Linked DNA regions of Neodiprion lecontei. The protein of the gene in region 2 purifies or fractionates together with the protein of the main gene of each other region. This does not show direct contact. Links are inferred from orthologs where the notes say so. Each region holds a gene or a part of one and is shown on either strand. Other genes may lie near its edges. The genes, in order: protein kinase C-binding protein 1, lysine-specific demethylase lid and GATA zinc finger domain-containing protein 1.

Region 1 (11,008 bases), on a different chromosome or scaffold from region 2:
TGTGCATTCTATCAATTTTTTTTGCTCATTCGAGGCTGTAGCTTTTGCTCGCTCCGCATTGACTTGATTCACCATTCTAGTTTTTGGCTTATAGACTCTAACCGGATTTTTATTCGTTTTCGGACTTTTTATTTTGATTTTTGAGTCTTGTACAGATCTCGTTTCGTTGCATAGATTATTATGAACTTTTGTATCATTTGCTTCAGTATCATCCTCCCCTTTATGTGATTTAACGCTACCAAACTTCGAAGATTTTCTTATTTCCAATGAAACTTCGTTTTCAGAACTGCTATGCCCGTCGCTACTGTTATTTGCATCCCATCTTCGTCGATATCTTTGCTCTAATTGACTGTCGTCGTCTGTTTTCACACTATCATCCAAGTTGTCAGTGTCGTTTGAAGTATTACTTCGATTACAATTCATTCTGATTTTCTTCTGGTGAAAATTTCCATTATCGGATGAATTGTGGATCACTTTTTGATTTTCGTTAGATTTAGCAAGTGGCGGCAACTTGGATTTATTGAGCTTGTTGGACAGTGACACCTTAGGTATTCTGGATGCCTCGATATATTTTTCACAATCGTTGTCCGAATCACCCTGAGGTGGTGTTGAATTGTTAGCGAAATCAGAAGCATTATTTGTCGTTGATTCCTCAGAACATGATTTCTTTGTGAGATGAAAGCCTCGCTTTCTCAAAGGTGGTTTTCTTCGTGGTGAAGTGTTGGGAGATACTACAGCAGGAGTGCTGGGCTGAAGAGGATCATAGTTAGGTAGCATTAGTTTTATCTGCAATGGATCTCTCGGATTGTACTGTATTTTCGGCGGCGCAAATTTAAACTGTCCAAATGCCAACTCCAGCTTTCGACAATGGCGCGTTATTTCACGAACACATTCGTCCATATCTGCTTTTCGTTTACGCGGAAGCGGTGCAGGTGGATCTTCGGAATATAAAAATAGATCACGAATTGGTACCCAAGCCCGATCATGAGCTCCAAAAAATCGGACGTCCACATGCCCTTGGCCATTTATGCGAGACATGGCCTTGGCTGGCCAAAATGGGAATCCCTTTAGTTTTGCCCAGACAAGTGGATGCGGCCTTCGGCACGGTTCAATGAACCAAGAGGGTTGAGGTCTGGGAAGGTTTCGCGCATGTCCATAACAATCGGAACAGGCCTCAATCTCCGACACCTCTTGCCTGGCTGCTTTTATAATCTGCCTAGCAGCATTTGTTAGTTTAGAGGTATCTGTGTAAACGCCTCCACCTGCAAATGTAGCGACACTATATTCTTCGAGAATATTATATTTTGATATCCTGGCTACCAGATAATACTTTTATCTACACAACATTTATATAATCAGTCTGATTGCACATGCAGCGAAGTTTTCGAATTTCGAAAAAAAAAATTCTATATTTAATTTAGACCGTACTCTAATATATTTCATATAAAGTCATTGATTTCTGTAGGAATGTGAATAAAAATGATTGCCTACAATGTAAAAATAGCAACATTGCGTTGCACAGTATTAATCAAATTTCTAAACAGTACGGGTATGTAACTTAAAAGTAAAAGTATATAAGCTATTTGAAAATACATCGTGAATTTGATATGGCGAAGTATCAAAACCAATCAAACAAACCGAAGATTAGAATACTGAATGCAGATTTTAAAGAATAGTATTTGTCGCTGAACAAAAAAGTATCGAGAATATATAGAATTGCACAGGCTTAAATATTAATCATGAAAAATAAGCAATGAACAGAATACGCACAAGTATTGAACACAATGCAGTTGTGCTGTATCCACTTAGCATCAGCCATAAATGCCTCTGTACTACCATAAAGTTTTGCACGGACATTAGATTCTAATAGACTCAAGTCCATTGGCTTAACAACATAGTCCAAATAGTTCGGAACTTCGTTGAGATCTACCGCCTTCCAAAATGGCTCCGACTGTGGACATAATGATTAATTCCTTCCTGATAATTATCTTATCTCTGTACCACAATAGGACTCTAATTTATCTGTATGAATAAAAATTCTTAAAAACACACTTGACATCTAAACTATCCTAGAAGGCTCAGTAGCAGATTAGGTTCTTTAATTTTGGCAGTAAAATTAATTTTACTGCAGGCAATAAGCAATCGTAATGAATTAATATATTCAATAATACACAAGTTTATCGCTCATTGTTAACTTGATACTTAAGGAGTAAGTAAGCTTAGGAATGAAAATATGAATGTAACAAGTAATGTGATGAAAATGTACACACCCCTGGATAATCACGCATTCTTCCAACCACATGTCTCAGTAGTGTACAGAGCTGTTCAACACTCAACTGAGCCATCGCCGGTGAGCGTGTTTCTGCATTTTCTGCTTTTAAAATAGTAGCACACTCGCCACAAATCCAATTCTGCGGTGTTGGTTGTGGACCTCCACCCATACATCGACGATGCCAGGAACGTGGACATGCGGTACAATGGCTGTCAACAGACTCTTTGTGACATCGCCAGCAGAACTTATCTTCGTCACTCCTAGATCGCTTGCGTTTGTTAATCCTTTCGTTTTTTTCTACCGAAGAATCTCTGCCTTGTAGACTTTAAAAAAAATATTGCTTCATTCAACTATAATAAATCAAGTTCATTTTTTCGGCTGTCTTTATACATGTTAAATATGATATCTCGATCAATGTTGAAAATTGCACTCATTTTCAAAAAACGAAGTTGCTATTAGGCCCTTTCTATTCAAGCATGCATCCATAATACAAGTAACATATAAATTCTAGGAATACTGTTAGGAATATTGTAAAATTAAAAGAATAGAAAATAGGTTTACAGTACTTATGAATATAAATTGAGAAACATGTTAATCTGTGAAGAACTTCAATATTTTGTAGTATGAAGAATGTTCGGAAATACCAAGTGAGAAATAAACGGATTTTGAAACTCTGTGGTTTGGTTTAGAAAATAAGAATATACTAAGTGAGCTTACATTGTTATAAAAAGTTTTACATGGAAAACATAGTTTGCAGTTGATGCAAGATCTACAATTTCGATGTTGAGCAACAAATTAATAATACATCAAATTATTGAAAATAAGAAAACTAACTACTTACACACCAGGTGTCTACCAACCTCGACATTCTCCGTTTTCTCTTGCCCTCCTTAACTGCACTTTCCCCTTTAATCTCTGCTCCATTGATCTTGACGTCTTTACCAACAGACAAAGACGATCTTGTTTCCGAAGCTTGTGCTTCCTCGCTTGTACTTTTAGAGACATCAGGCTTCTTGCCATCAAGTCTATTTTCAACACTGTTATTTTCTTGCGATTCTGCTTCAATTCTACTGTGTTTTTTAGCAGATTGTTTTCGGCTTTTGACATCAGACTCGTTGCTAACGTTATCCTTTGATCTATTCACATTTGTCTTTGATTCTATATTGTCACTTTGCTCCAGAGCATTAGTTAGATTGTTTATTTTGTTCGATTTCTTGCTAGATTCATTATCGTTTTTGTCCTTCTCTGTAACTGCTGTCTCTGAATTGTTCTTCTGATCCTCGCAGTCCTCCATTGCGTTCTTTCTATCCTCCGAGGACTCCATGTTGCTCAGAATCATATATCAGATGGTATCTGTGTGAAATAGATTGTCATTAAAGCTTCGGCTACTTGAAGTTTAATTTTCTGTCTATTCACTGGTAATTCGAATACATGAACTAATACACCATAGTCGAAAAAAAATTTTGTATCACACTGCGCGATTTTGAAAAAAATCTGATATTTGTAGTTCTATTATATGAAGTATCATTTAATTCTATATAACAATCAAATACAGGTTTTTTCAATATACAATAAAACTTTCACCATATGTTATGTGTTATATGTAAGAATTTTATTTTCAATTTCTATAAATTTATTTATGTACAGTGAAAATTTGTATTTTCATGATAAACATTTGAAATCTTGACATACCGACAAAATAAATAAAAGTATGAACTGAAAGCCAGCTAATGTAATTTATTGAAATCGATTCTTTTGAACATTATTATTTATTAATGCACTCCATTATTGCAGCTCTGGCTGTACCAAACTTTCATTTTCAACATTTTTCTAATTTCTAGATGAATAGAACTTTGTCCACATTAGAAATGAAGTAAGAAACTGGATTAAAAATAAAACAATTTAGAGCTGACGATCAATTTTTAAATCCTGCTTCTGTGTCCAAGTATAATATAAAGTGATTTTTGATCAATAACATGAATTGGATATAGGTCAGAGCAATACGCGGAAAAAAGGACTTTTTAGTAGTTATATCATGTTCAAGGATGTAAATATTCTGCATTTTAAATTCAAGGTTTGTAATCAAGCTTCATAACTTTTTCCTTGTTGCCAGGTTTTCTAGGTTCATGGCAATTTTGCCAGAATTGCTTTAGCTAAGATAAAATTATGTTTTAGGGTTTTTGTCAATATGATTTATGACTTCAGAACCGATTAAGGACATGTTTTGTTTGAAACAGATCATGCACGCCGATCCTATTTAAAATGATCCAAGAAACAATCATTCCACAAAAAATTATTTCAACACAAAATTGTATATATGATTATCCTGTCGGTAATTATTCTGTTCACATATAAAATGCAATATTTAGAATAAAAAAAAAAAAATTCATAGATTGCATTAATGTGACTAGTTTGAAATTATCACCTCCCTTGTTCAGCCAAGGACTATATATAGTTTGAAGACACTGACATCAAACATTCTTACATATGCCATTGTTATTACGTACACTTTGAAATGGAAATGATGTTTATCTATGCATTTAAAGTTCCAACCAATCAAGCTTAGTCGAAAACTCAAGTTGTTACTAATACTGAAAACAGGTCGGGGCGTTATTTAGCCTTAAGTTTATTGTGTAATGTTGTGCCCTTGGATGGTTTACAAACTTTTACCAGGTTTACTACACAAAGTCTTATCATAGGATCTCAGTATCAGCAACAAGTTGAATTTACAATAAAGTTTAATGGATCGAAACTTCAGGTGCATATTTCTTACTTCGTTTTTGTTCAAAGTTTAATAGTTTCTGGTGAAATCCTAGCCCCAAAATGTTTCTAGTCTGTATACCATTTACTATTTTCTTGATGATTGAAAGGAAACCAGAAGCCAGGATCTTCCTTCATACTATCCCGAATCGCAAGAGAAACATAAAGCCTTAAATCAATTCTCGGAAGTGAAAATAACTTTGTAAGAGTAAGGTGAATAAGCAATATGACTTATAGTATGCCTCCTGGGTAAGCGACGTGTCTACAACAATGAGGAATACAAGATTATGGCTGAATGCGAAAGATAAGCAGAAAGTAGATGAGTGCCAATGCCAAAAGTGCTAATCGACCTGGTAACAGCGTGTTGTACTAAATGTAAAAAGAAATAATTGTAGAAATGCATTTAAGTTGCAGCGGTACAAACTTGGGTACCTGAGCATGGTTCAATATTGGGAAAGTAATATCAGGATGACAATGAAGTAAAAAGTGGGTATACCTACATCATAGCAGCAGGCACAGGAATGGATGCTGTGGTTGTGTGAAATGGCAGTGAATAGAAGAGGATAGACTGTTAAAATTTCATAAAAATATAAACAGGATCTTACCAATCTATTCAGAAGGAAGTACGCATTATCAAACGACGAAAGCTGGTGATACGACGCATCGCTTTGCAAGACTAATATTTCGTTGAATTAACATGATACAAACATAAGTGGAGACATTAATCGCTATGGAAAGTTAGGAAATATCTCTCGCTGCGCTGCACGAGCAAACCACTACTAGCCGGGCTTTCCTTCTCTTCTCGTTACGCCAGCGCTATCTGTTGAGGTATTGGCAAACCTTCGGACATCACGTGGTGATCGTGTCTACAATTCAGTCGTAACAAAAGTGCACATATACAATTAGAGAACTGTCAAACTATGCGTGGGTCCGGTAATTCCGAAGGCTCGGAATGCTCGTTGAGGCATGACACCTTGTAGTTTTACATCACCTTTTTCGCTCTCCATTTCGCCATCCCGGAATATCACCAGTTTATGTACGAATTTTCGCCAATCTTTTCCACACCTCTTGTTAAAGGGTTAGCTGGTTATCACTGTCAACCAGCTGTAGTGTAGGCGTATAGTGATCTCGCACATACAATATTCGGGTTAACAGCAGCTGTCAAAGAGACGTAATACTTTACGAAAACTATTGCCGAATGAGTTTTCTGACGATTCCGTTACACCGATGTTTTAATCGACTCATAAATTCAACGATAAACTACAAATATATAATAGATAAACGATCAGTCTGATAAGGTATTTATTTAAGGTTACGTTTATCTGTGAAATGTCACTTATTGCAGAAGAATAATAATATTTCGCCTTGTTATTTCCAGTGAGTTAAATCAGCACGAATAATGGAATTGAGTGACTTTATATTAGTTACAAAACTTGATAACGTCGTTCTCACTGATAGAAGCGATGGAACTGATAAAAACTCTAGCTTAGATAGAACGCTCTGCATCACTGGACATCATCTTATACTATCATCAAGGCAGGCTGTTTCTCAGGAGCTTTTGGTACTCAAACTGATCAATTCGTAGTTTTATTCCAACTGCCATATTATTTATTATAATATGTTCCGCAATCCTGTACGTCCCAGAGTTTTAGATATAGTTTTATATTCATAACTCTTGGAAAATAATTTGAGAATTTTACTCATGTTCTGACAATATCTGCAATTTTTTTGAAATATTTTCTAGCCAGTTGACGTTTTATTTTCACATTTTTGTAGATATTCGATTTCTTCCAGCTATTTCATTAAGCACAAGATTTTCCTTCGCTATCAAGCAGTGTTTTAGTTTGAATTGCGTCTTGCAAAAACATAGATAATTACTGAAATAAGAGATACTAACCCAAAATGGATCCTTTGCTAAGCAATACTCTGTGTATTAATAAAGCAAAATTTGACAGTTTAAAACAAAACTATAAATAAGTAATATCATATTAGTAATACAAGGAGAATATATCAATTTGTAATACCTCACTCTGTAAGTGTATAAAAACCAGTTTATCTCCAGTATTGCAATGTCAAATAAACTTAATTTTGATTTAAGATTCCCTTTAAGCACTACAAAAAAAGTGATAAAATCAGGCTTACAGAAATTTGATTTATGAGTATAGACCATCCTTATATTTGAATATCCCAAAAAAATTATGTGCTATCTTGTAACATGTGCAACTTTTCATTTTACATTTAGTCAATTACGTTTCAATAATTACAATAACAGATTTTGGAATACTGTTCGTGATTTAGAAAGATACATCTCAGTAATAAATTAACACAAGCATAAGCAAAAACCTATATTTTCATTCAAAAGTTCTTGAGAGTAAAATATATATTTACATAAATAAGAGTGAAGTATGTAAGTGACACATATATCACCTTATTTATCATTTGACAGTGAACTTTATAAGTTGACCTGTAAATTGCAGGCCAGAATGTAAATACATTTTTAAAGATCATGTGAGAATATGGAACACATTATGTAGTCTTTGCATGTATTGTGAATCAGTTTGAAAATAAGGGCTATGGCTAGCTACCGTTCTATTGATAGAAATGAGGAAGTGTCAAAGGTGTCTGTCAGCAAGTATAGTTGTGTAATGTAAGATTGCTAAATACTGGGAGGATGCTGCCTACTGAAATTTTACTCGTAATTTACAATTGAATCCTTTACCAGCTGCTTCACAGAAACATAGATGTCATAGAGAAAAAGTCAAACAACCAAAACCCTGGAGGCAGTATTATTTTAAAATGCAAGGATTTCCATATCTATCAACTCGATATCAATAGTACAGAGGATTTAAATAATGTGACGTTATCTCTGGAAAAGCTGGCATGTTTGGGTAAATAATCATGGACATAATATTCGTGTACCTGCTTCTGAATACAAATTGACAGTTGCTTTATTTAACTCGTGATTGCTGCCTAACAATAACTAATGCACATTTTATATTTCAGATCAACCTCTCCAGTATCCTTTTTTCTACAGCCCTCAACCTGTGAATAATTCCACGGTGCAAGTGGAAGATGGATGGACTGCATTTGCACCAGTTTCAGAATGGTCTAGACTATTAGCAACTCATGCCGATGAGTGGCGGATTTGCTACCTCAATCGTGATTATAAAGTCTGTAATTCGTACCCATCAGCCGTAATAGTACCACGGCATATAGAAGACAAAATTATTGTATTAGCAGCAAAGTTTAGAGACGGTGGACGATTTCCTGTACTCTGCTACAGACACGATGGGGGGGTATGAGATTTTTGCAATAAATGATTAAGCCCGACTCGATTCAGTAAGTAGAATTTTAATTTTTTTCTAGAGTATTCTCATGAGAAGTAGTCAGCCATTGTCTGGAGCTACAGGAAAAAGATGCAAGGAGGATGAACGACTTTTGAATGCTGTTTTAGGTCCAGGAAGACGAGGGTATGTAAAAATATTTGGCTTCTCAATATAATAATACCAGTATACTTGTATATAGCCGAAAAAAATAATCTAATTTCTAAGTATAAATTAGATTGCATTTTTCAGTGAGTTGAGATATACTTTTACATAGCATTAATTTTACTGGTTGTTGATTGATTTGTGTCTTCTCTACAGGTACATAGTGGATACGAGATCTGCCAGTCAAGCGCAGGCGGCCAAAAACCGAGGAGGAGGAACTGAAATGGACGCAGCTTATCCACAATGGCGTAAGGTGCACAAGGCTGTGCCACGATCTACTGACCTGGCCGAAAGTTTCTGTAAACTAATCGAAGCCTGCAGTGACACAAAATGCTCCACGTCCCAGTGGCTTTCTCGACTAGAGGGTAGTGGCTGGCTATCTGCAATTCAAGCAGCATTGAATGCAGCCTGCGTAGCTGCCCAATGTCTTCACCAAGAAGCAGCTGCTGTCTTAGTACATGGTATGTAGTTATGAAATGAAAAATTTCTATGCACTAATGAACTATTGGAACTGTACTACTATAAGTACAACTAACAACAGATTTTGCATTCACAAGCAGGTTTTACTATGGTCTTCATTAATTTCGTTTGTTCGAGATATTTTCATACAGATGTAATATGATTACCAACTCTTTTCACAGTCATCTTTGATGAAATATAATCGATTATATTGAATAATAATTGTATAAATTCTGCACATTAACAATCGTGTAGAATTATTATCGTGTTTCAGCGAAAGTTTTAGATAACGCAAATTTTTTTTGTGGAAATTGACAATAATTATTTTTGACTGTCCAGTTTTTGGGCATTACTATCGTTTTAGATAAGCATTGTAAGGAATTATTCAGGAATTTGCAATAAATCCGTCAATATGTGAAAAAAATATCGATAATCAATAATTTTGAGATCATAAGCACAGAAGTTTTAAAACTATTGTAGACTTGTATGCAAACACTACTATTATACCTTCACCTAAGTAACAATATGCTTTTTTGGTAGGTGGTGCTGGCAGAGATTGTACTCTTGCTGTGACGAGTTTGACCCAAGCCATTCTAAATCCTGACTGTCGAACCGTGAGAGGTCTGCAGGCTCTTGTTGAACGAGAGTGGTTACAAGCTGGCCATGCTTTTTTCAGTCGGACACGTCATGGGCCTTATCACCCGCCCAATTCTCAAAGTCCAGCACATGCTCCCACCTTTTTGCTATTTCTAGATTGTCTCTATCAGCTACATCGCCAATTTCAATTCAGCTTCGAATATACAACAGATTTACTCATCGAACTTTATAAACATGCATATTGCTCAAGCTATGGAACGTTCTTGGGTGATTCAGAAGCAGAACGAATTCAGCTTAGATTATCTGAGAGAACGGCCAGTTTATGGTCACATATAAATCAGCCAGATGTTTTGGAAAAATGGTTAAATCCACTTTACGAACCAAATCCTGGCGTTATTTGGCCCAGTGTGGCACCTATCAGCATAGAATTGTGGATGGAACTTTACCTTTTGCATACAAATGCCGCGCCATGGAAAGGATCACTTTCTTGCGCCATGCACATTAAACGGAAGCATTCTGCAATTCGAAAGATCTCTGGTCAGCTTCAATCGCAAATCCGTAAAGGTATCGAAGAAATTCATACCAATCCAGATTCTTCGTACGGGACAGCGAACGCTGAAGAACACCTTCGACTAGCTCAGATGAACTTGGAACCTCAAAGTACTTGATGAAGGGCGTGTAGTTAAATTTAAAGAGCAAAGTCATATTTAAAAAGGATGCGCTTACCTAGTGCCCTTTTTTACTTAGATATTGCAAAACATTTGACAAGTTCCATCTGTACAGTTTAAGAACACGAAACATTGAACCATTTATTTGAAAAATTTATACTTATAATTGATAATAAAAAAAAAAACTGGAGAATTATTATTGGCAATGACAAAATATATAACTATTGGATATATTGTACGTTGTATGTAATTCAAATTGTGTACGTACATAACAAAAAGTACTAGGTCACATCATGTTGGTCTTAAAATATATAAAAATAGAAGACGATTTGTGCTCAGCATTTATGTTCAGTTGTAGTTGCTACAAAGAATTTTTTTCCGCATAGTTCACGTAAAATGAGAAATATAAATGACACAAGGTGACTATCACGTGTACATTAATTCAAAGTTAGCGTATTATCACAATTGTATCATCTTACTACGTTTCTTATTGCACTTATAATGAGTTCCATCCTTTTTCCAGCGATCTATATGAATTAACGGAATAAGAATACCACAAGTCATTATTAATTTATATTTGATAATCAACTGTTGAAGTGGTAGACTGATAATTAATTCAACAATTTTATTTAACCATTTGGATTAACATAATAATCAGCATTGCATATTCAATCCCATGCATAATCTTATATCGATATTATTGAAAGTTGAAACTACTAATTTCAGACATTATATAGGAATATTACACTCTACGGCTAGTTTCA
Region 2 (10,871 bases):
TAAGACCGTTACGAAACGCATCGGAAATGTCTTCGAGGCGTAGGTATAGGTACCGCGTTGTTCTTCCGTACATTAACATTACCCTACGTTTATGGGAGGTTGCGCGACGACGACGTGCTTCACAAAGCTATTCGTGCCTTAGGCTGACACACCCTGTATCGGAATTGATGAAAAAATTTCCAAGGTGTGCATATCAAGCTCGCATGGCGCGTGCAAAAATTACCGGAATAATGCGTGTGTTTGTCTAACCGCATATTACCCTAATCGGGAAAGATAAGTCGCGATACTTTTCAATTCTTGATAGGCAAGAAATTAGCACGAACTTATCAGCATTTTGACAAATTTGACTGAGCTGTTCGTCAAGTTTTAATTAATCATCACAACCGAACGGGATCGACCAAAATTGTAAGGATCGAGATGAAATATTACGTCCAATGTAGGTACAGACGCTTAAATAATTCAGTACACCGTGTGCGGCTAGTTCCTGGAACTGATTTCTAATCACCTTGGTTTTCTTGTTAGTTACGCCGGTATGATTTTTGTTTTTCCTTTCGATCCTCTTTCCCCTTATCGTCACAACCCAACGCGATATTTACCTCGGGCTACAGCATAAGCTGGGTACGGGATTGAGCTCGGCTTCAACCGGCAATTCGGCCGTATCTTAATACACACCAATCTTAACACACACCAAGAACTGAAACCCTAATTGGATTTTCAAGAGGACAATAACCAGGAAAAACAGACAGCTTGCGAAATAAGCCGCATAATGGGTGAAGTGGAATCGACGCTTGGAGCTCCGTTCAAGTTGTGTTATTCGTACCCCATGTATATACTGATACAAAATTACGGTAGTCGGATGTTAAGACTAGCCAAAGAGTGTCCATATCTCTGCTGCTGCGTGTATGGGCGTATGTGCGTGCGTGTATGTGGGTGTATCGGTGTAGTGGAATATCATCGATAAATACCTTGTGACAGCCGAGTTTTGGTAGAACGCGGGTTTGGCTCGACGAAACTTATAATATCCAATATGACGGTGGTTATAATCGTAATCGCGTGGCACAAGACCAATCGCCGCCGTTTATTTTCACTGTAAACTTATCAACTTACAGGTATAGCTGCAGGTACCAGAACGATAAAAGTTTGAAAACTATCAACTCCGTCAACAAGTGTCAGTCCCGACGTCACACTCTACTCACCTATATACAATACGGCACAGAGCAACGGAGTTTTGGGCGGACCTCGGTCCCACTCATTGTCGACTGGAAATACCTGTGCCGTACCTCTATACCTGACGAAGCCCCAGGTAAACTTGGGCGGGTGTCCCCCTTCTTCACCCCCTTCGACCCACGGACAGGTAGCAAATGAAACGAACCACCTCATTGGTCGAGGTGGAACGGTACCGAGCTTTCCATTCGTCGAGACCTGCGACGGAGCTCGGTACGATCGGTTAGAAGAGGTCTTAGGTTTACCTGGGCCACCGATAGCGGATTCTCGGCTTGCCCTGTAGCGCTCACAAAGGCGGCAAAACAATAAACGACAGTCGTGGGTATTTGCTTGCTCTGGCCATTGAATTCAAGCCAAATTTTACCTGCTCGTATTTCTCGGAACATGGAAGGCATAAACTTCTTTTATTACGGCAAGAACATACTACAGTTAAAGTCCAAACTGTTTTCTTCGCGGAAGGTATTTAAATGGAGTCGGTGAAAGAATTTGGAAGCTCCAACTTTGAAAACTGTACCCGAGATTCTTTCGGAATAGGATGAAGTCAAGATAAAGTAGTAACGTTACTGTAACGGTGCATGTTGACGAAAAATCGGTACTTCGCATTTATAGGAAAGTCCGAGATTTGGTAAACCATTGTAAACAAAATATACTTCAATTTTGAAAAGCCAACTCCTTGAGAGTAATTTTTCAATCGCTTAACTTCAGTCTGATTCTTTCGGAGGATACAGTCAAGGCTGTTGCATTACAATTTTCGCATCCATGAATCGTTATTAGCTAACGATAATCCAGTGTCGATGGGAGAAAATTCGCTATTTTAAAAACGTCCTCTAAAGCCGAAGGATGTTTTTCAGACAATTTGAAAGTCAAAGCCGAAAAAACGTAGTCCTGATATTTTTTTTTTTACCATATTTCAATTTTGCTGTGGCCATATTACAAGTTTTTACGAAATCGATTGAATTCGGTCAACTACAGCTTGACTGTATTTCTAATTTCCAGAATTGGCTTTTCGAATTATGCAGAAGTGATTTCTGAACAAATTTTGGCAATGAATGGCCCACAACAGCTGCTTTAAGAATTGAAAACAAAATGAGGAGGATGGTTACGAAGAAATTCAGGTTGTCAATTTTTCCGACGCCGTTTGAACGTTCGATAGCAGGATTTCGTTGGTAAATTATAAATCTTTCAACTCGTTAAGCAGAGTACGTATTATCTGAAAATTAAATTTCAAACGGTACTCTTAACGAACACTTTCTCGTTAAATTGACAGGAAACTTTATTCGTGTAGTATAACTTTAGACATTCGATACACGCAATATATTCACGGATACTCTGTACAGATAGATATATGCATGTGTGTTGTTTGACTTTCCAACCATATTCTATAAATAAACTATGCAAATACTAATTATTTATACGTCATTTTCATAATCCTTGGGGTTCTTCCTTTGAAGGCGAGCGTGTTCCTTTTCTGCCCAGTCGTAGACCAAGTAGGCTATTAAAAAGGCTTTAACAAGAAAATTTTTCATCTTAGACATTACAGACACGACTGGTTTGAATCTAATCACACAGTCTCGTACGACTTTGTTGAGATACTTACGTGGGCCCATTGTAAACAAGTTCTCCTTTATCCTACGAAATACATTCGGTACACCATGAGATATCGCACCTGCGAATGCCCGCTGCTCGTACGGACTAAGTCGGTAATAAATAATTCCTCGCAGCTTGTACAGGTTTCCAAATACCTTTCCCATCCTGCCAACTGTCTGTGGAAAATATCTGATTTACGTTAAGCTGTTATTTTGTGTGGCGAGTGGTGTGTATACGACAGTTACCACACGAGCGAGGGGGGGGGGGGGTGAAAAGGTGTGTGGAATTGGTGTAGAAAGAAGGTGCCGAACACACTTTTTTGCAAAATGAATCATTCCGCTGGACATTCTTATCGGTCTGATGGCTATGAATATTCTAATGACAACAGAGAAATTGCAACAGAAGACGTAAAGCATCGACTGACTGGCAAATAACGTAATTCAGTACGTAGCCCTCTCTGTGACCAACCTAACAGTCACGTCCGAATTACGTAAGAAGAAATACGGTAAAAACGGCAAACGGAATACCGCGGAGAAACTCATCGAGTATTAAGTTAGATAACTCTATCGTTTTTCGAATAAATTATGTAATTATTTGGTAAAGACACCTACCCCTTGCGCAGAGAGCACACGTCGAGTCTAATGGAAAGAAGATACCGACTTCAGACGGGTAGACAAAGTGCACCAACACGAAGAAACGAAACTGAGGAGCGAGTGGCCAGCAGTTCTGCCAACGTTGACTCACTCGGGATACTATTTTTTTCACGGATCTTTCGCAACTGACCAATGAAGGATCGCTGAGCCAGTTTGCTGCCTAACCAACATCGACGATTCAAACGATCAATCTGTTTTCATCCGTAGAATTGACGACGCCTCGTATGCTCCGTAGAGTCTTGAGAGATGAACGCAATAAAACGCAGGTATAACCTCGACGGCAGTTTCTCCGGTGTGGCCGAAAGCTCAGTCAATGGCGTGAAGGTATCAGCCATGTTGGCGGTGAGGATTGAGGAAGCGCCGATGGAAGAAACACGGGAGAAAAACGCATTCGGTTGTCGCATGCGCGCAGAGGTTGGTTCTCGAGCAGCGTGATAGTGGAACAAGTACTGAATGCATACGTACGTGCCAGACGGACTGGTGTGAGTACCGAGCAGCTCTGCCTATTAGAATCGTTCTATAGTTCCTACATAGAACCCGAGGAGTTGTGTGCGGACGGACGGATTGTCACATCGGTAACGGTCATATATACGACATCCGTAGCCATGGCTGCGCTAAAAACATTGACGAACAAGTTTTTCCAATTAATACCTGAGTAGTACCGAGTTTCCTAATCGATCCCCACACTATTGTCACGTGCCACGGTGTATTGGTGATTCCCGAGTGAAATCCACGGGGGAATTTAACATACCAAAACTTTGCCTATATGTCCTCGTTGGTGGTGTGCATTCGTTGTGTGACGAAATTACGTGATGGTCTCTAAGGTGGATGTAAATATCGGGTGCGAGGCTCGGTTTGGTACTTATCACGCTAAAGATATGAGTGAAAAAGGTGACAAGGATTTTGAGTTCGCTATACCACCAGAGGCCCCAGTCTTTGAGCCAACAGCGGAGGAATTCCTCGACCCCCTTGGCTACATCTCCAAGATTCGTCCGATTGCCGAAAAATCGGGAATTTGCAAAATAAAACCACCGCCAGTGAGTAATTACAACGATGCGACAGCCCTCCCCGCCTCACCCCTCATCTAGGAGGCCTTTCGCCCTTTATCGTCCCCCCCCTTTCCCTATGCCGTAGAGATGTTAAAATCCAGCGTCGACGAACCGTATGTGTTTGGGGGCTTTGAGAAAGGAAAGCGAAAAGTGATGTAGATGCGATAAAAATGTGTAACAAAAAAAAAATACTATGTACACACACGCGCTCACACCCTCTTTGGATGGATACCTTATTGTTCGGGATGAAAAAAATCTCCCACAATCACCCGTATCCACATGGGCTAGAGTTGTACGATTGAATACGCGATGAAAGGAACAAATGCGGAGTAAATAAATAAATAACATTGGCAGAAACGGGATTCTGTTTGTCGATTTGCTTTCTCATTGCTCTGACGATGCTAACATTGGACGTTAATTTTGGGAAATCGCGTAAACAAATGACATCTAGGTATATTAAATGCTGCGTCTTCTCGACTGTTCCTGTGACTGACATAACGTTTCGTCATTATCTCACGTCCTCTCACAAACGTTAATGTCGCACTTTTACAGTTGTAAACTGTCATTAGAAATATTCTTCCGGAAGAATAATTAATTATTGTTGTATTTGGTGTCGTTTTTCTTTACTGACCGATTTTCTTTCTTTCTTTCTTTTTTTTTTCTTCTCTTTTTGTTTTTCGAACACCTATGCTACCTCTTTCTTTCTACTCGGGCGAAACTACCACCGATGTTAATCTCACCAGCGTGTTACATCCACAAACTATAGCTATATCGATGCACATAATGGTCGTTCGTCATTTTACGATTAGCAAATTACTAGATGAATAAATTTTTATCGCAGCCGCGATACGCTTATCATCGAGAAAAATTTGAAATGGTGTAAACCGAGAAAATCGGAAACAACAAATAAAAACAAGAAACGTCAATCCAACGACGATGTTTATACGCATACATTATTACCTGTAACGATAAAATCGATCGAAGTTGTTATACCTGATACAGCCATTATTTTTCTTGCATTAAATGTCAAATGAGTTGCAAACCTCGGAAAATAAATCGCCGTGAGAGCATTCGGTCAATACGTAATTCCGTTACTCAATTTACAAGCGTCTGACGATTGTCGAATCCGTCGAAAGAAAATGAAAGATGATGTCCATTTTGTTTTATGTAGGTATAACGGACATTGCATATCCGTGCGCGTACTGTAAAGAAAAGAAAGGTGAAAAGTAATCAACGGCAAACGAAGAGCTGTCGTTGTTTATATTGCGAATGCCCCTGTTAATTGTGTCTTATTTCTTCTCTAAACAAGAAATTATACGTTACGCTTGCATTACCATTTTATCAATCCAAGAGACAAATCCTACCTCACGTCTGCTATATCCAATAATTTAGTAAAGTAGGAGTTTGCGAACCGAACCGAAAACTAAGGTCGGCTTCAACTGTCGAGATTTGAAATTAGAACAAAACAGTAATCCAAATGCATCCGTGTTTTATTGCCATTGCTAAGGGCAAAGGGCGAGCGTCAGAGGGGCGGAAGGGGGGAGGACGCTTACCGTTATAGATTCGGCGTATAATTTGTATGACGAAACATGCGATTGCATAGTTTAAAAATAAACGGGAAAAACTATAATAGAATTTTCACCATTTATTATGTAATTGTCAACAGTCGAACCACTATGTACAATAAATTTTTCCAAAACTGTAAAATGTTTAATTCCAATTTACAAACTAAAGAAAATAAGTAAATAAGTAGAACCAAGTTTCCAGTTTGCTCATTAAATTCAATATTTTTTTTTTTCCACAGAATTGGCAACCACCTTTTGCCGTTGACGTTGACAAATTCAAATTTGTACCAAGAATTCAGAGGTTAAACGAACTTGAAGCAAAGACCAGAATAAAGCTGAATTTTTTAGATCAAATAGCCAAATTTTGGGAGCTTCAAGGATCATCGTTGAAAATTCCACTGGTTGAACGTAAAGCTTTAGACTTGTACTCCTTACACAGAATTGTCACCGAGGAAGGTAAAGGATTGTTTTTATCGTCCTTTCCCAGTTACCTGTGATTTAACGATAATACTAATACTTTGTAATATTGTTTCATAGGTGGCATTGAAACAGTTACTAAAGAAAGAAGGTGGGCAAAGATTGCAAACAGGATAGGATATCCATCCGGTCGAAGCGTTGGAAGTATTTTAAAAAACCACTATGAAAGAATTTTGTATCCCTTTGATGTTTTCAAGCAAGGGAAAACCTTGACTGACATTGTAAGTATCTTCAGCTTAAATTTGCAACTGACTTATCAATGTAGTGTTTATTCATTTAATCAGTAATAAATCATTTGTACTGTCTCCAAAAGAAAACAGAAAAAAAAAAACGCGTTGGCCTCCAGACATTTTATGCAGAGCTGATGGTACAATTTTTGTTTATTTTCAACTATGTGAAGTTCCTGAATTGGACTCTATTAATCAAAAACAAACATTAAATGGTCCAAAGCTTACCCTAGTATTGTGATTTTTTTTTAGAAAATTGAGCCAGAGGGTGACGTGAATGAAAAAAAGGACAGGGATTATAAGCCTCATGGAATAATATCGAGACAGCAAATAAAACCACCAAATGAAAAATTTTCACGGCGTTCCAAGCGATTTGCTGGTACGGATGAAAAACCAGAATTAGTCACAGACAGCACATCACCTATTAAGCAAGAAGATTGCAAAGATGAGTGCGACTCTGACAATGAAAAGGATAAAGATAACAGCAAAGAGCTTAAAAAATTGCAGTTTTACGGACCTGGTCCGAAAATGGCCGGTTTTAATACCAAAGATGTAAAAAAGCCTAGCAAAACCAGAGGCGTCAAATTACACTATGATTTTGACCCGGTAAGTGAATTCAATTTTTCACGTGTTGAGAAATAAATAATTGTTTGTTTATCGGTGTATTACAGCTTACTAAAGATCTCCTATATTTTTGCACATTCTTATTCCTTTGTCCTTTTTTTTTTTCACAGCTTGCCAAATACATTTGCCACAACTGTGGTAGAGGCGATACAGAGGAGAGCATGCTGTTGTGCGACGGATGCGACGACAGCTATCACACCTTCTGCCTTATGCCACCATTAACCGAAATACCAAAGGGTGATTGGCGATGTCCAAAATGCGTCGCCGAAGAAGTCTCAAAGCCTATGGAAGCCTTTGGATTTGAACAAGCTCAGCGTGAATATACGCTGCAACAATTTGGCGAAATGGCCGATCAGTTCAAAAGCGATTACTTCAACATGCCTGTACACGTAAGCATCATATTTTCATTCAATTTCAAATTACTCTCTCGAGTTACGTCTTTAAACGGTAATTTTTTTCAGATGGTACCGACTCCTTTGGTCGAAAAGGAATTCTGGCGGATTGTTTCTTCGATAGATGAAGATGTGACCGTCGAGTATGGGGCTGATTTGCACACAATGGATCATGGCTCCGGTTTCCCGACGAAGACCAGTGTCAATTTATTCACGTGCGATCAGGAGTACGCCGAATCTTCGTGGAATTTGAATAATTTACCCGTTCTACATGGAAGCGTGCTGGGACACATCAATGCAGACATTAGCGGGATGAAAGTTCCCTGGATGTACGTTGGCATGTGCTTTGCCACCTTTTGTTGGCACAACGAAGATCATTGGAGTTATTCCATAAACTATCTACACTGGGGAGAGCCCAAGACTTGGTACGGAGTTCCTGGATCTCAGGCGGAAAGATTTGAACATTCCATGAAATCTGCTGCCCCGGAATTATTCCACAGCCAACCGGACCTTCTCCACCAACTCGTCACTATTATGAACCCTAACATACTGATGAATGAAGGTGAATATTACAGGACAATTATAAACGCCCATTGAATATGGTATAAGAAAATTATCACGTTTTAACTGATCCTGCTGATTCGACATTTCGTTGTCAATTTACTCTCTTTCCTACCAGTTTTACACTTATAGATGGCAAGTTCAACAATTCACTGCATTCGGGAAAAAATTCAATTTGTCCATATCACATCTACTTGTGACAATTCTTAAAGTATTGAAAAATTCGCTTCAGTTTCACTCAGGGCACCAGTGCTATCTTTGAATGCTCCCATGACACAGGCTCCAGAGTTTTTGTCCAATATATTCGTCAGGCTGCCATATTCACTTATTGTTCGACATCTCAACGTAACATTTTTACTGTTCGATTAAGTTCCTTTGGTTCTTTCAACTTCATATTGGTCTTTGCTTTAATTTACTTCAGAAAATCGTCGATGGCTGTACTGTCCTGGACCTGGTTGCTCGCCGAGATGCCAGCATACAAATAATCCAACCCCCATGTACATAGGTATCCGATTTCCTAACAACTTCCCTCTTCACGCCATCCCCCATCCTATTTACATCACCTGCTTATTACCTTATTATCTGCTATTTTTGTGAGCAGAAAATAAAAGTTAGTTTTTTATATTAAAAACTGGGCTAATCGAACGGATATTGACGAGTTATTTTATGGCATGAATTGACATCGAATCGAATATGTTGTACATCGACTCCATGAATTTATTTAAAATGCCAACAGTTATGGGTGATAATAGTCAGAAAAGCAGCGATCAGTATAACGTTTGATAATTGTTGGAAAAAAAAAAAAAAAAAAAACTTGTTTATAGTAGACCAAATTTTACAAAAGTAATTTACAGATCGCTCAGTTTTTACTATTGATTTGTGCTAACTGAAATTTCACCAAATGGATGGATCTCATTTCATTCAATATTGACGTTGAAATCGAATGGACGCAAACTTTTCTTTAACCACTGTTACTGTCTATGTTGTCCAGGAGTTCCAGTATTCAGAACGGATCAGCATGCAGGTGAATTTGTTGTGACGTTTCCAAGAGCCTATCACGCCGGCTTCAACCAAGGGTACAACTTTGCAGAGGCTGTCAATTTTGCTCCAGCTGATTGGGTAACACATATAAGGATTGAGAATCGTCGCTCGTTTATTATGACGTGATTAGACGCCTTGTGATTTCTTTTTGTTACAGTTGAAAATGGGACGGGAATGTATTTCACATTACTCTAACTTGAGACGCTTCTGCGTTTTCTCACATGACGAACTTGTCTGCAAAATGTCTCTGGACCCAGACTCCTTGGACATCGGTATAGCCACAGCAACATATCACGACATGCTTCAGATGGTCGACGATGAAAAAAAATTGCGAAAAAATCTTTTGGAATGGGTGAGTCTTATCCCAGTTTTTATTTTTCATAATCCTTATCATTTTACTTCATTTTATTCTTATTCTTTTGCTGGGAATAAACTTCAAATCGTGATAGACTCAAGAACCGAAGTGAAAACAGTCTTTCTTTGCCTCCACAAGAGTTTCAATTCTCTCTATTTCTAGTATCGAAATTTGCTACGGTACCCTTCATCAATAGACACAGCTAATTGACAGTAAATAATATAGTTTTATCATTCCACATTAAACTTCATCATTCCAAAAAATCAGATAATTGACTGCCCTATTGATATTTCTCATTTACAACGGTTTTTTTCCAACATAAAGTTGTATTTCTTGCGACTACGATTTTCGACAACAAAATATGTTTCCAAATCAACCACTGTAAAAATTTGGAATTACCATTTACAGTAATGTTCATTAATGCCTTGGGCTTCCGGCTACCTTGTTTTCAGTCCGAAACAAAATGCGAGCTCGGTTCTATATGAATTATGTAACAATGACTGACGATGCAGCCAACGTGAGAGATTGAGAGTCATTGTCACATAATTCGTATAGAATCGAACTCGCATTTTATTTTGGACCGAAAACAAGTTAGCTGAAAGCCCAAGGTATTAATGAACACATTGATTATTCAAAAATCGTAGTTCAACATTTGAACAATTGATACTCCAAAAGAACCGTAACTTTGGTTTTTGTATGAACGAAGCGCAAGATCACTCCTAATCAAATACAAATCAATACATCTGTAGTCTGTTATTCAGCAATAACAGTATCTCAGGAACGGCATTAGTTTAATTTATTTTTTGCCATACCGTTCAAGATTAAGGCTCCTAGGTTTAATTTGATCATCGTTGCTCGCTACTCTCATTAGTTATAACATATTAGTTATACGTTGAAATAATGTATCTCGAAACGAGGATTGACGGAATCAAAGAATCCCCATCCGTAGGCATATTTACACATGCATATATATACAACTGTGAGATTATGTAAAGAATAGAAGGAGGAGAGTTATCAGGAACTGAGTATAGCCAAATGGAAACTGGTCAGCTTATGTTGTTGAGAAGAGTAGTACATTCCCGTTTCCCCACATGCCACATGCCAACAGGCACACAG
Region 3 (11,777 bases), on a different chromosome or scaffold from region 2:
GAATTTCAGTAAACTTTGTAGATTATACTCAACTTTAATAACCCAGGTAGTATATTTGTCGAAATATCGACTATGGATTGACAAATTAAAACCGGCGTAATGTCAACAGATGAAAAATTTGCCTACATTATACTTTGGGATAACGTAGTACCTCTACATAAATTTTAGTAAAATCCATGATCCGAAGGCCAGATACTTTCCTTCTTCATAGATTTTTTGTAACTTTGACGACATAAAGAATTTTTTTGCAACTCAAAATTAGCAGCTGACCCTTTAAGGTAGAGCGCAGTACGTTTCGCATTTGATTGACGGGGAACGCATGCGCCCTAAAAACTTTTCCCCAACGCACCCATACATGGCTGACGGTACCGAGAGCTGCTGCCGGGATCGATCGAGGCCGAAAGACCAGCAGTGCGTCGAGCCTGTTACCATCGTCCCGTTGAAACAGCGCGGAAATTTGGAATAAGTGAAAATGGGTAAACATCTGCAAACCGTTGCGGCAATGGCCTGCATGAAGACGCTGTTGATACTCTTCAATTTTGCATTTGGGGTGGGTATATTTAACTTGTCTTAAATATACACATATTCATACGCCTCGATGCTGCCGTCAAAATTGAAGAAATATTGACGGAATCCGCCCAACTGTTGCATTTCCAACACAATCAGCGTTTAGCTTAATCTGATCGCCATGTATAGCATTGATTCACATGTGTTTGTGCATTCTTTTTGAGAACTCAGCAGAAAAGTTCACGCTTCTTAATATCGTACAAGTTTTGGATTGGCAATGTTGCAATATTTTCAGATTTTGTTTGTTATATTATTGTAGATTTAAATAACACAAAATGAAATAGGAGTTACGATTAGAGAAAGTTAAACTCTACATTGACCTGGCATTACAAAATTAAAGTTCAAAAGCTTGGCCAATGTATTCTGTGCCTCGATATTTGCATAATTTGCCTGAAACAATCAGCTGATTATCTCTTATGACGCCTCTATTGTCCTAACCACACCCAGATTAAGGATCCTGATAAGTTCGAGCTTTCATGGAATGATTAGATCAAGACTGAACTTCATTAGGGCGGTTAGGAAAAGTTCAAACATCCCTGTTACGGTTAAAATGATTTCGAAAATTCGTATGTGGTAAAAATAAGTTCATATATTACTAGGACAGTTAGTTTAAATACCCTCGGAGCTATCAAAATAATTTCGGTTATCCCCGGAACGGTTGGGAAGACATCGGTTATCCTTATTATCACAACGTTTAACGAGAACGTTCGATATGAGTTTTGGTCCAGCGCAGAAACGACTGGTACCAAAACGTAATGCACTCTTCTGAAGTTACCATTACTTACACTGAAGGAATTTCGAATTAGGATGGTGCTTTGCTACTTATGAGTATGTATGTATGTACATTGTGCATTAATACATACGCTAGCGAGAGAACGATGTAGTGATGATTTGCTGTTGAAAAATTCTAATCTGAGACGGTATGCTAATGCAGTGCACCGGAGTACTGATGCTGTGTGTTGGGATCTGGATGCGTATTCAGCTCCGAGAGTACGTAGATATGAGCATTGAAGGTAGCGGTGCAGCGCCTTTGGCTCTGGCCTGCCTCGGCATCCTCGTAGTCGTAGCCTCTATCTTGGCATGTTGTTGTACGGCACGTGGACATCCGGCACTCTTATACCTTGTAAGTATATAATACACGCATACAACTAAGATCAACATATTACATGATAATCAGTATCTCTTGGATGAGAAGGTGGACTTATCGGTTTTCTATCCTTTTATCCCCAGTACGGAGCATTCTTGGCGGTTGTGGTACTCCTAGAGCTGGGATCAGGTGCCTCCGTTTATGCATATCGCAACGCTCTGACCGAGGGCTTCGATCAAGGGCTCAATGAAAGCTTGGTTCTCTATGTAGACGACCCCAACAAACACCATGATATCGATACCATGCAGTCTACCGTATGATATCCTAGTTCCTCTTTTATCGTGCAGCATTATCTTCTTCGATCAGTCAATTGTACACATTTTTACAGTTGCATTGCTGTGGAAACCGCGGCTACACTGACTGGCACTCCATAAACTTACCGGAAGAGATTCCTAAATCTTGCTGCAAGCAGCTTGAAAACCCGTGTGACTCTTCGAATCTGGATAACGTGTATACTCAGGTAAATAGCATAAACATTGCGAAGTTTCCGATCTGTATTACATATTCTCATTCTCAGAATTGAAGTCATAGGAACAGTTTTAGTTTATGGCGTCGAGAGTTTTGGATTAACGTTGTTTCCAGGGCTGCTACAACCGGGTTGTCGACTTCATAAACAGCAACATTGGGTTGGTGGCTGGTAGTGCTGTAGGTGTTGCATTCTTTCCTCTCATTGGAGTCTTCCTTGCTTGTTGTCTGGCTAGTAATATCAACAAAGCCAAATACGAGCAAGTTGCGTAATTGAATGACGCTGCGTGACGGTTAATCACGAGAGAACGCAATTAAACTAACAGAAACAAAAATCAAAGTAATTATGTTATCATAACTTATTCATTTATTGCTGTGAGCTTGCGTACATACGCACTTATTTATTATGATATGTATCACTATATGATATTCATTTCAGTTTTGAAACTGTGTTGAAGTATCAGGATGCGGATGGGAGAGAAACTTATATATTATAATTATATGTCAATTAATCATTTATGAAATTTGTTTCTATACAACGAACATATACACATACAACTACAATGAATCCCAACTAATATTGATTGTTCGAGATTTCTACACATTGAGCGTCATTGAGAGGGAGGTGGTGCCTGAAATCTGGTAGCAGGCAGAACTGGAATCCTTGATTTCAGAAGAAGCATTCGGGTCATGGCAGTGAACAAACTACGCTTATTAAGTCGAATTTAATTACAAAACTGGCTTTTTATCGAATATTTTATTCTATATTAACTCAATGTCATGAAATGAAAACCGAAAAGCTTGTACGAAGTTTTCTGTGCTGTAAGATTTAAGTGATTAATCTAATCGATCAGCTGATTACCGCTCACGTCGCCGTATTGTCTTAAGAGGATGTTATAATCAGTCCATACTGACCGCGATAAATGTCACTTATTTTGACCATTATCAAAGCCTCTGCAACACTGATGTAGAAATACCATAGCCAGCGCAATTGTACATGTAATGGCTATTACAAATATCAAAAAAAGTTTTCTTTCACGTAACAATAACGCTACGAAATGTATTCTTATAATTGAATTATCGCTTATTGCAGGAATACATTTCCTGGACTCAATTTTCGCATGAAACGAATGAGTTTCCAGATAGTTTTGTTCGGCATTGCACATAGTAAAAGTGCCCAACATTTTATTCAGTCGGTAAAGCCAGACTATATTACCCCCTTAACTGCGCACACAGCCAAAATTCCAATCTTCAATGCATAAAATATGTCGTGATGGCCAGAATTTCGTAATTCTCTGTATATATGTCTAAACCTAATCGTAAGTCAGAAAGACTAGAGGATAGGAGGATGATCAGTTCTATAATTCCGGTGTTAGTATCGGTGAACTACTGGAACGCGCACTGCAGTCGTGGGGGTTCCGAAGACAGAGATAGCTCAAATTACAATCAATGAGACCACCAGTCTCTTTTTATTAGTTACTGCGCATGCTCTGCACCGTCGAAGTAGAAATATTATCCTACCGCGACATCCACTTGTTTTCTCGTCACCGATTAAAGTGAGAGGTCCAGCTTTAGGTATTGCTCTCTCTTTCTAAATACCGCTTCAGCTCGGTGCACAGACCGCGCAGTCTATCTCTTTAAGTCTATGGTCCTTATCGTGACTGTAACAATTCCACAAAACACAGCAGCCAGTCTGCACAGCACGTATTACGTCCTCAAGCGGGCAGGTTTGTGACGTCATAAGAGTTTGGCAGTGTGCTGTGGCCGTATATCGGACCGTGTTTGCAGCGCTGCGTACTGGCAGTAAAAAAGGAACATATCCAATGATATACTTTGTATCATATTTAAAGTGCACTTGGCTCAAATCTATCGCGTGGCGATGAAGCCCAGCCTGCGTAGTGAATCTGTGTAGGATCAGTGCGTGTACCGCTATTGTGTTTACGAAAACACTAATTGTAAGGAAAGCACCGCAAGGCGAGAAATGTAAGTGTAAATCTATCCAGCGTAGATGTAAATAAAGAAAAAAATGCCGCTAGGAGTGAAGCCGAAGTGCACAAAATGCGAAAGTACAGACAGTATTTTATGGCACAGTACGGATGCCGGTAATATCTGTAATAATTGTTCCGAATCTGACCGTTGTGGGAATGCAATTGACGATGATGACAAAGCTAGCAATAATTCATCGAACAATGTCAATGCCACTGTGAAAAATGAGTCGAATGACACTAAACTGCAGCCTCGGAAGAGCACGAGAGTGACAAGGTACCTCAAAAGCAAACCCGTTACACAGCTGAAAGTTTTGCCTAAGGGTAAAGGACGCCGACATATTTTTAAAAAGACAGTAAGTTTTAAATATTATGACTCGAAAAGGGAATCGAAATAAACGTTTCCCGTAAAGTTTCTATTGCTTGTGAGCAGAAAAGTCACATTTTTCGAGAACTCCATTTTGCATCAAAAATCTGAAAAATTTTATTTTTCGCGTTTCTATATATGTTTCTGACAGTATCAGGTTTAGGAAAACTGGTATGAGTTTCTTAAAGGAGTTGTAAACCTTTAGGAAACTTGGAAACTTTTGAAGTTAAATTTTTTGAAATACAGTTGAAAAAGTCTACATATATGCGAAAGAATATTTTCAATAAAACTAGAATCATAATAATTCTTCACAGAAATTTTCTAAAAATATGGTTTTTCTGAGGGGTTAAATCACTGTTGAAATTGTGCACAACACATCTCCATTTCCTACAACTCCCCATACGTTTCCTTGCAACATTGCCTTGCAAGATCTCCAAGCTGATCCCAAAAATTTCCAAATTCCTTGTTTGCAAATATACCTAGAAATCCTCAAAAATGTCTAAAAATTCACCAAAATGTTCCCGTAATATCTCCCATTACCTGCCTTGTTATCTCCCTCTCAGGTTTTTCCATAAATCTCAAATATTCTACATACAAGTTGAAGTTTTTCTATTTCGAAATTTCTTAACACTACTAAAATTTGCGACAGATTTTTCAGGACCTGTCATAATAATTAATATTCTGAATAAATTTATATAAATTTTGAAAGATTTCTGAGAAAAATTTTCGCTCAAGTGCGGTTTTTGAGGCACGAAAAAAATTCAATCGGTGCTACTTTAAACACCTTGACACACAAAAACCGTTGACGGTCATATTTAGATGAATCGGCAGATCAATTTTAACAATGGTCAATAGTTACAATGACTGATTTCTGCTTGCTGTAGCCAATCAAAGCTCCTGCAGCTGTTGCGACGCCAGTCACCAGTGACTACGTCTTTTATAAAGGTTCTTACATTCAAGTTGGAGATATAGTGTCCATGCAAGACATTGATGGCGGTATTTACTACGCTCAAATACGAGGGCTGCTGACGGATCAATATTGTGAGAAAAGCGCAGCAGTGACTTGGCTGATCCCAACAACTGCTAGGTAAAATATTATCTTCAAGTATTTATGCCACAATACATTTTTATATGTAACAAGAATACCAGTTGATAGGAAAGAATTCGAATTTATTGTATATGTTACAAAGTTGTCGACAAGTGAGATGTAAAGAGTGAACATTTTTCTTGTACAAAAACTGGTAAAGCCCTCCGCCAGAACATGGATTTTATCCCGAGACGTACCTAATCGGACCTGAGGAGGACTTGCCAAGAAAACTGGAGTGCATGGAATTCGTGATGCATGCACCATCCGATTACTACAAATTGAAAAATTCTCCGTATCCGCCACCGTTGACGGAGACCGGGGCTGGTTTCGTATGGACATCTTTGAAACACGAAATCAGTGTCCGTAAAAAGTAATATTTCATGTATATTTTTTATTAAATTTATTTAATTTTCCTATTAAGGGAGACGGATTTCAAACGAATGAAGAAAGTTGGCTCATAGTAAAAAATAAACCTTCACATTAATAAATGCTCAATAAAAAATATTTATTTGAAACTTTGATATAACTTTTATCGTCATCATCGTCATCATTAATTATACAGCTTTACACTTATCTGTTTGATATATTATATTTTATTATTATATAAAGATTTCATAACTTTACTAGCGAAAGTGATAAATTGGCCAAAACTGATTTTCATATTTCATTCAACCGTTGATATCAATTATCGGTGACTCATAAACGAGGACGCTCATTTATATCAAATATCGTTTACGATAATGCGTACATAATTTATTTATGCATTGATTTGCTGTACAATATTGCCCCTAATACTAGCAGATAGCTAGGCACTATAAAATACTAATAATGGTGAGTGAAAAATATTCACTGAACATTATATTGCCGACGTGGAATGAAAATTTAGGTGAATAATTCTCTCATTGGCAAACGCGATGGATATTGACATGTTAAAGAAAATTATTAGCTCTTTGAATCACGGATTCCACTAAAACTTCTAGGGGTGTTCCTTATACCCAAAATATAGAACTCCAAAGGTTTAGTTTCATCTACTTGGCCTTCTTTCACGTAATTTACAATATATCAGATATTAGAAAATTCGCAGTCACTTCATATTGCTCTGAGTTCATATATTCGTTGAAACTTGAATCAATGAGATCCTATCATTACAACTTCATCAACAGGTTTCGTTTATTACAGCATTTCACTGAGCAAATTGCTCATATAATCAATTGTAACCGGATTAAAGCAAGGCCTGTTATAATACACTATATGTTACAAGGCTCTATATTTTAGGCCAAGGAAACATACTGACAAGCTTGAGCAGAATCCGTGATTCAGAGGCCTAGTATCCTTGTTAGAACCGAAAGAAAGAAACGTCTCATTTTTATCCTTGATAACGATGGAACGCAGAGCAAGAAACCTGGTTTGACACCGCTGGGAGCATCCGGGCATTTTCATCTGTTTGGCCAGTGGAAAGAGACGCCGTTAACTGGACAGAGGAAACAACCTCAGCTGAAGGACTATCTAGTCAACTAGGCAAAAGCGATGTAACCGCCGGTCAGAACTTGAGGTCCTTTATTGCCTGTGGCAGGTCGGGTAGTTTCATGTCTTTTAACTGCTGCGGTATATTCATATTTTTCACTGCTGATACAGCCCGAGCTGGAGCTGCCGTTATTCCCGCCTGCCAGGAAAAATAATTCATCAATTAATCAGGTAGATTTATCAGCGTAATCGCTGGGACATTTACCTTTGAATATGCTCATATTTTTGTCCAAATGTATAACGATGATATTTTGTATAATCGAATATCAAACTCTTACAGTTTAGATTGATTTGAGCATGGAAAATATTGTTCTGAATTGATCTCATTGCATTAACATGGAAGTGTTCAACCAGCAATGACAAGTTTGTAATGTATGAAATATTTTGTTCAGGTAAATTGTTTTAATTATGCATATTATACAAATTCACTAATAATATTGATAATAGTGTAAGAAGAAGACTAAAGAAGTGATTGACAATCGAAAATTTTGATAGGTACATAAAAAGAGTAGTAGAGGATTAATTAGGGAGATAGATGCAAATATATGGTTTACATTTTATTCACGTTATTGCTAGATACATTTTTACTAATTGTAAGGCACTAGTTCTTTTGAAATAAATCATACGTTACAAAATTCATGCAAAATATCATACACAATATTACATGAAAATTCAACTATATGTAAATGTATAATTATGTAAAAAACCGATGCATATCATTGAAGTATGAAAGAAAAAAAAAATAGATCACAGACGAAATAGGAATGTTCACCTCACATATTTAGCCGGAATGATATTAAAATCAAAACAAACAAATCTTATTACTATTTGACTTTTAGGGAGGAGGTCCCAGAAGGACAATCGGACGAGGTGAGTAAGATCGCACTGATTTGTAAGCCCCCTAAAATTGAGTTTGAGTCAGTTCACTCGTGTAAAAAGCCATAACTACAAGAACATGTTCAGGAGCAATTGTTGGCGTGTAGGCAGTGTTGAAAAGAAAAGAACACTAAAAACAAAATAAATACAACAAATAATATAATTGAACTATTTCTGTTTTGCTCAAATTTTTTACACAGGACTGAGAAATTTTATGCATCCAAAGAAGGTACACCTTTATCGAATTCCAGAATATGTATTTAGATTTGTCAACCATGCAATGAAGAACACATGAAAACAAGCTTTAGGTTTCAGTTTGTGATAAGAAAATTTTCCAATATTTGATGGTGTCCTCGAGTATCAAACTGCATTTTTTTCATTTTAATCGTCTGAAGTCTAAAATATTTTTTATTGATGGATAATATGGAGATTGCTTTAAATGATAGAGACGATTTTTGACAGATAAAAATGTGAGTCCCGTAGGTGTTGCTGGATTTTCCGTCAGCAGCTGACTACCCTAGCTCTGTGGGTTTGATTGGATATGTTAAAGTTAAGGACAATTAGGCCGTACAGTTTTAATCAAAAATGAGAGGAAGAAAAAAAAAACTGTGTGAAAAATTTTTGGTAATGTTATTTGTGTCAATGTTAGTGAACAGAAAAAACAATATTCTTACTGTGTATTAGAAACAAATCTGAGCAAATTCAAATAACAACAGCGAGCATGTCTACAATTTGAGAGAAGGATTTGTATTTAGAATGTTCTCCCTTAAACTCTGGTATTTTATACCAGATTGTAATTTCTGGACTCATTTTGCTAGCTGATCAGGCCACAATAATTTGTCTGGAAGACATTCAAGAAATCTTACATTATGGTACCATTAAAATGCACAAATTCAATTATCGCCCGACATCTGTTGCTCCATGCTTACACTAATCTATTTAATTCACTCTGGAGATAGTCGTTTTTAATTTGTTTTTTTGTGTGATTTCTGGAGATCTATCTCTGAGGTGAAAAAAAGAAGTCGCCGAACATTAGAATGGAATAAAAAAAACAGTCAAGTTTTATAATTTCTAACATACTAACGATAAAACCTGTCAAATTGCTGATACCTTAACTTGGGTAATACGAATTTGCAAAATCATTTCTATCACATAATAGGGATGTTGTTTTATTCGAGTTCACTATCATTGGAACAAACAAAATTACTAGAGATTTTTTAAACGGTACCTTCTCATTTCTTAATTTTTGATTGAGATGGTAGAGCCCATGCATTTTTAAGATGATTAGTCATGTTCAAAACTTAAAAATTTTAACAGTTACAATCTAATGTAAGAAAAATTGAAGGATCTTTGCTAAACTGGTATATTGTGAGGAACGTTTAGTAAATGGAAAAGAGAAAAATGCAATAATGAAATAACAGAACTCCTCACCTCTTGTTTTTCTAGCTTGTTTTGGTCTTCGATTCGACTAAGGATTTCAGTCATGTTTGTTTCGAGTACCATGCCACCCATCACTAGTTCATTCAATATGTAATGAACTTTATCCACATGAAAAATAAGGTCCAATTCACAGACGTTCTCAAAGCATTTGTCCAGTGTTTCAACAAACACTTGTATCAGATCCAGGATTCCCAATTCAGATTCGGAACTGTCGACGCAGAAAACAAAGTACAAAGTCGCGTAGTGTCGGTATATCAGTTTGTAATCCGAACCCCCGATTAGGCTGCCTCCTTCCAAAAAATTACAGACGTTATCGTCTCGTTTTGACACGAGTTGGAACGTCTCTTTGATGATTTGTTGTTGCATGTCCTCGTTCTGAAGAGAACAAAGTGATATTGAAATGTAAAGTTTTCAATTTAAAGGTGAAATATTTTTCCGTTCCTCCCTCGCGCTGTCTGTCATACTTTCCGATAACTTCATTTCACGATATGAAATCGTATACATGAATTTCAGTTATTAGAAAGAATCATACTTGATACTGACAGATGTCAAATTTTGGAGGATGCAAACGTTTATTACCAAATACTCACAAAGTACTGATAAAATTTTGACAGTCTGGGTTTGCCATGATTGTTGAACACTAAAATTGCCTTAATCATTTTGAAGCCACTTGTTTGTATAGAAACAGAATGCATAAAATTGTTATTACGTTGGTATATACATGGATTATATTAACGTGACATCACTGTTTTAAGGTTACACTGAATTCTGGCAACTGTCGCCATTTTTAAAACGCCGCTCGTCCGCTAACCATTGAACACGCTATAAACAGTTCTGGAACCTTCAGTGGTAGGGGTAGGTCGCCTATGGAAAACACGTTAGTAGTTCAATAGTCGCGCCACTGGCACGGACGGGGGGTTCGTATGTAAGACCACGTATGTGGTTCAGCACCGAAATACATACATTTGAGTGGTTCAGACAAAAAACAGCACTAGTCGCCATACGCGGTTTAAATCAATATTGAGGTTATGTATGCCGTAGTATTAGAACCACAGCGACAACTAGTGGTCCCGCTAAAACCGAAACTTGGCCTTCCTAAACGACGCACATAATCGTGTGCTCCCAATATAGGAGTTTCCAGGCCTGTATGTAAGACCTTGTCTATGAAGTTGCATTGGACATTGACTAAAGATTGCTAGAGATAGCCAGCTAAGTGGGACATTTTGAAGTTCGTCGATAACAGGAGCGATGGGGCAGGTAGTTGCAGTATCTAAATTTCACATCGTACCGACGAATTAACATTATAACTCAACGACGCAGGTGTTATTTTTAAGTTTGTAGGCGAGATGCTACAGGCTGAAGTCCTCCATTGCTAACGGAACCTACTCAGGAGAAAAATTAGTACAATCAACTTCTAGGGACTTTGTTAATAACATCAGTGCGTCCCGCAAAATGCGCCTGATGAATTGGCAACACACTACAATTGTTTCAAATTTGCCCTAATATTGCCGCGTGCCGCTTTTGATAGCATATTTAACCAGTTATGGAAAGTTTCTTTATTTTTTAATTTATTCTTTACGAAACTCGGTTTCCAAAAAGGGCTACTGAAGTAATGGAAGACTAATTTTGTAGATGAATCATTTCGAAATGTTCAACAGGTGGAACTAGTAGTTCGTGTATTTTAGATTCGTTTTAGCAACTATACGCATAAACAATATTAAGTGTGAATTTTTGGTTTATGATACTAATATTGGGCATAATTGATTACAGATTTCGAAAAATAATTTTTGTAACGCTAGTTTTACCGTTAGATAATAGAATAAAAATATTACATTGGTGAATTGTTTACGCAAGTAAGGATTTGTAATTTTTCATGACAGTATGAGAAGTAGGTGAATATAAAAAAAAGGAAGTATTCAAAATGAGTATTACTCTACTTTAATTAATTCACAGGTCTTTCCGTTTCCACGATTCCACTATGACATGGATTAATCAAAAGTAATGAAGGAAAATAGAAAAATATAAGATGGCAATCATTTGCCACGTATTGTACAAAAAATTAATTTATAATCATTTACTTCATGGCAGGTTTTCATAGACATGTGTGAGTGATTAGGAAATAACATTAAACAGTTAGAAACGTGATAACCAAAAGTTATTATTATTAATATTCTGTCTGATATTACAATTATAATTGGGCGTTAGGGATTATTTAAATGATTATTCACATATTGGCGACACGTAATGTAAAGGCGACTGAAACGTAGTTTGTAAATATATATATTTACGCGTTCTTATAAACCGCCGCGCCGGACTATA

The links.
Region 1: the proteins of lysine-specific demethylase lid (region 2) and protein kinase C-binding protein 1 purify together in Homo sapiens (affinity purification with mass spectrometry; 3 studies listed by BioGRID and IntAct, with this or other methods). This does not show direct contact. The link is inferred for Neodiprion lecontei from reciprocal best matches to the Homo sapiens genes KDM5A and ZMYND8.
Region 3: the proteins of lysine-specific demethylase lid (region 2) and GATA zinc finger domain-containing protein 1 purify together in Homo sapiens (affinity purification with mass spectrometry; 6 studies listed by BioGRID and IntAct, with this or other methods). This does not show direct contact. The link is inferred for Neodiprion lecontei from reciprocal best matches to the Homo sapiens genes KDM5A and GATAD1.

The regions. Positions count from the first base shown.
Region 1 is NC_060263.1:23,694,158-23,705,165, reverse strand, and holds the start of protein kinase C-binding protein 1, read right to left. Parts: upstream 5,815-11,008; 5' UTR 5,638-5,814; intron 5,177-5,637; exon of another isoform or gene 5,046-5,176; intron 3,626-5,045; 5' UTR 3,612-3,625; coding exon 3,118-3,611; intron 2,596-3,117; coding exon 2,271-2,595; intron 1,952-2,270; coding exon 1,771-1,951; intron 1,263-1,770; coding exon 1-1,262. Other genes in the region: myotubularin-related protein 9, read left to right, coding at 6,432-6,593, 7,755-7,920, 8,036-8,328, 8,399-8,502, 8,677-8,981, 9,520-10,244. UniProt on the Homo sapiens protein: Chromatin reader that recognizes dual histone modifications such as histone H3.1 dimethylated at 'Lys-36' and histone H4 acetylated at 'Lys-16' (H3.1K36me2-H4K16ac) and histone H3 methylated at 'Lys-4' and histone H4 acetylated at 'Lys-14' (H3K4me1-H3K14ac).
Region 2 is NC_060264.1:35,599,928-35,610,798, reverse strand, and holds the start of lysine-specific demethylase lid, read left to right. Parts: upstream 1-3,906; 5' UTR 3,907-4,276; coding exon 4,277-4,501; intron 4,502-6,317; coding exon 6,318-6,534; intron 6,535-6,615; coding exon 6,616-6,776; intron 6,777-7,034; coding exon 7,035-7,388; intron 7,389-7,516; coding exon 7,517-7,795; intron 7,796-7,867; coding exon 7,868-8,360; intron 8,361-9,350; coding exon 9,351-9,478; intron 9,479-9,557; coding exon 9,558-9,752; intron 9,753-10,871. Other genes in the region: cytochrome b-c1 complex subunit 8, read right to left, coding at 2,634-2,728, 2,822-2,975. UniProt on the Homo sapiens protein: Histone demethylase that specifically demethylates 'Lys-4' of histone H3, thereby playing a central role in histone code. Does not demethylate histone H3 'Lys-9', H3 'Lys-27', H3 'Lys-36', H3 'Lys-79' or H4 'Lys-20'.
Region 3 is NC_060261.1:12,101,141-12,112,917, forward strand, and holds GATA zinc finger domain-containing protein 1, read left to right. Parts: upstream 1-3,698; 5' UTR 3,699-4,205; coding exon 4,206-4,520; intron 4,521-5,415; coding exon 5,416-5,618; intron 5,619-5,778; coding exon 5,779-5,988; intron 5,989-6,108; exon of another isoform or gene 6,109-6,893; coding exon 6,894-6,933; 3' UTR 6,934-7,010; coding exon of another isoform or gene 7,011-7,029; 3' UTR 7,030-7,158; downstream 7,159-11,777. Other genes in the region: tetraspanin-7, read left to right, coding at 473-550, 1,502-1,690, 1,798-1,968, 2,043-2,174, 2,297-2,452; AP-3 complex subunit sigma-2, read right to left, coding at 7,159-7,281, 9,450-9,833, 10,049-10,153. UniProt on the Homo sapiens protein: Component of some chromatin complex recruited to chromatin sites methylated 'Lys-4' of histone H3 (H3K4me), with a preference for trimethylated form (H3K4me3).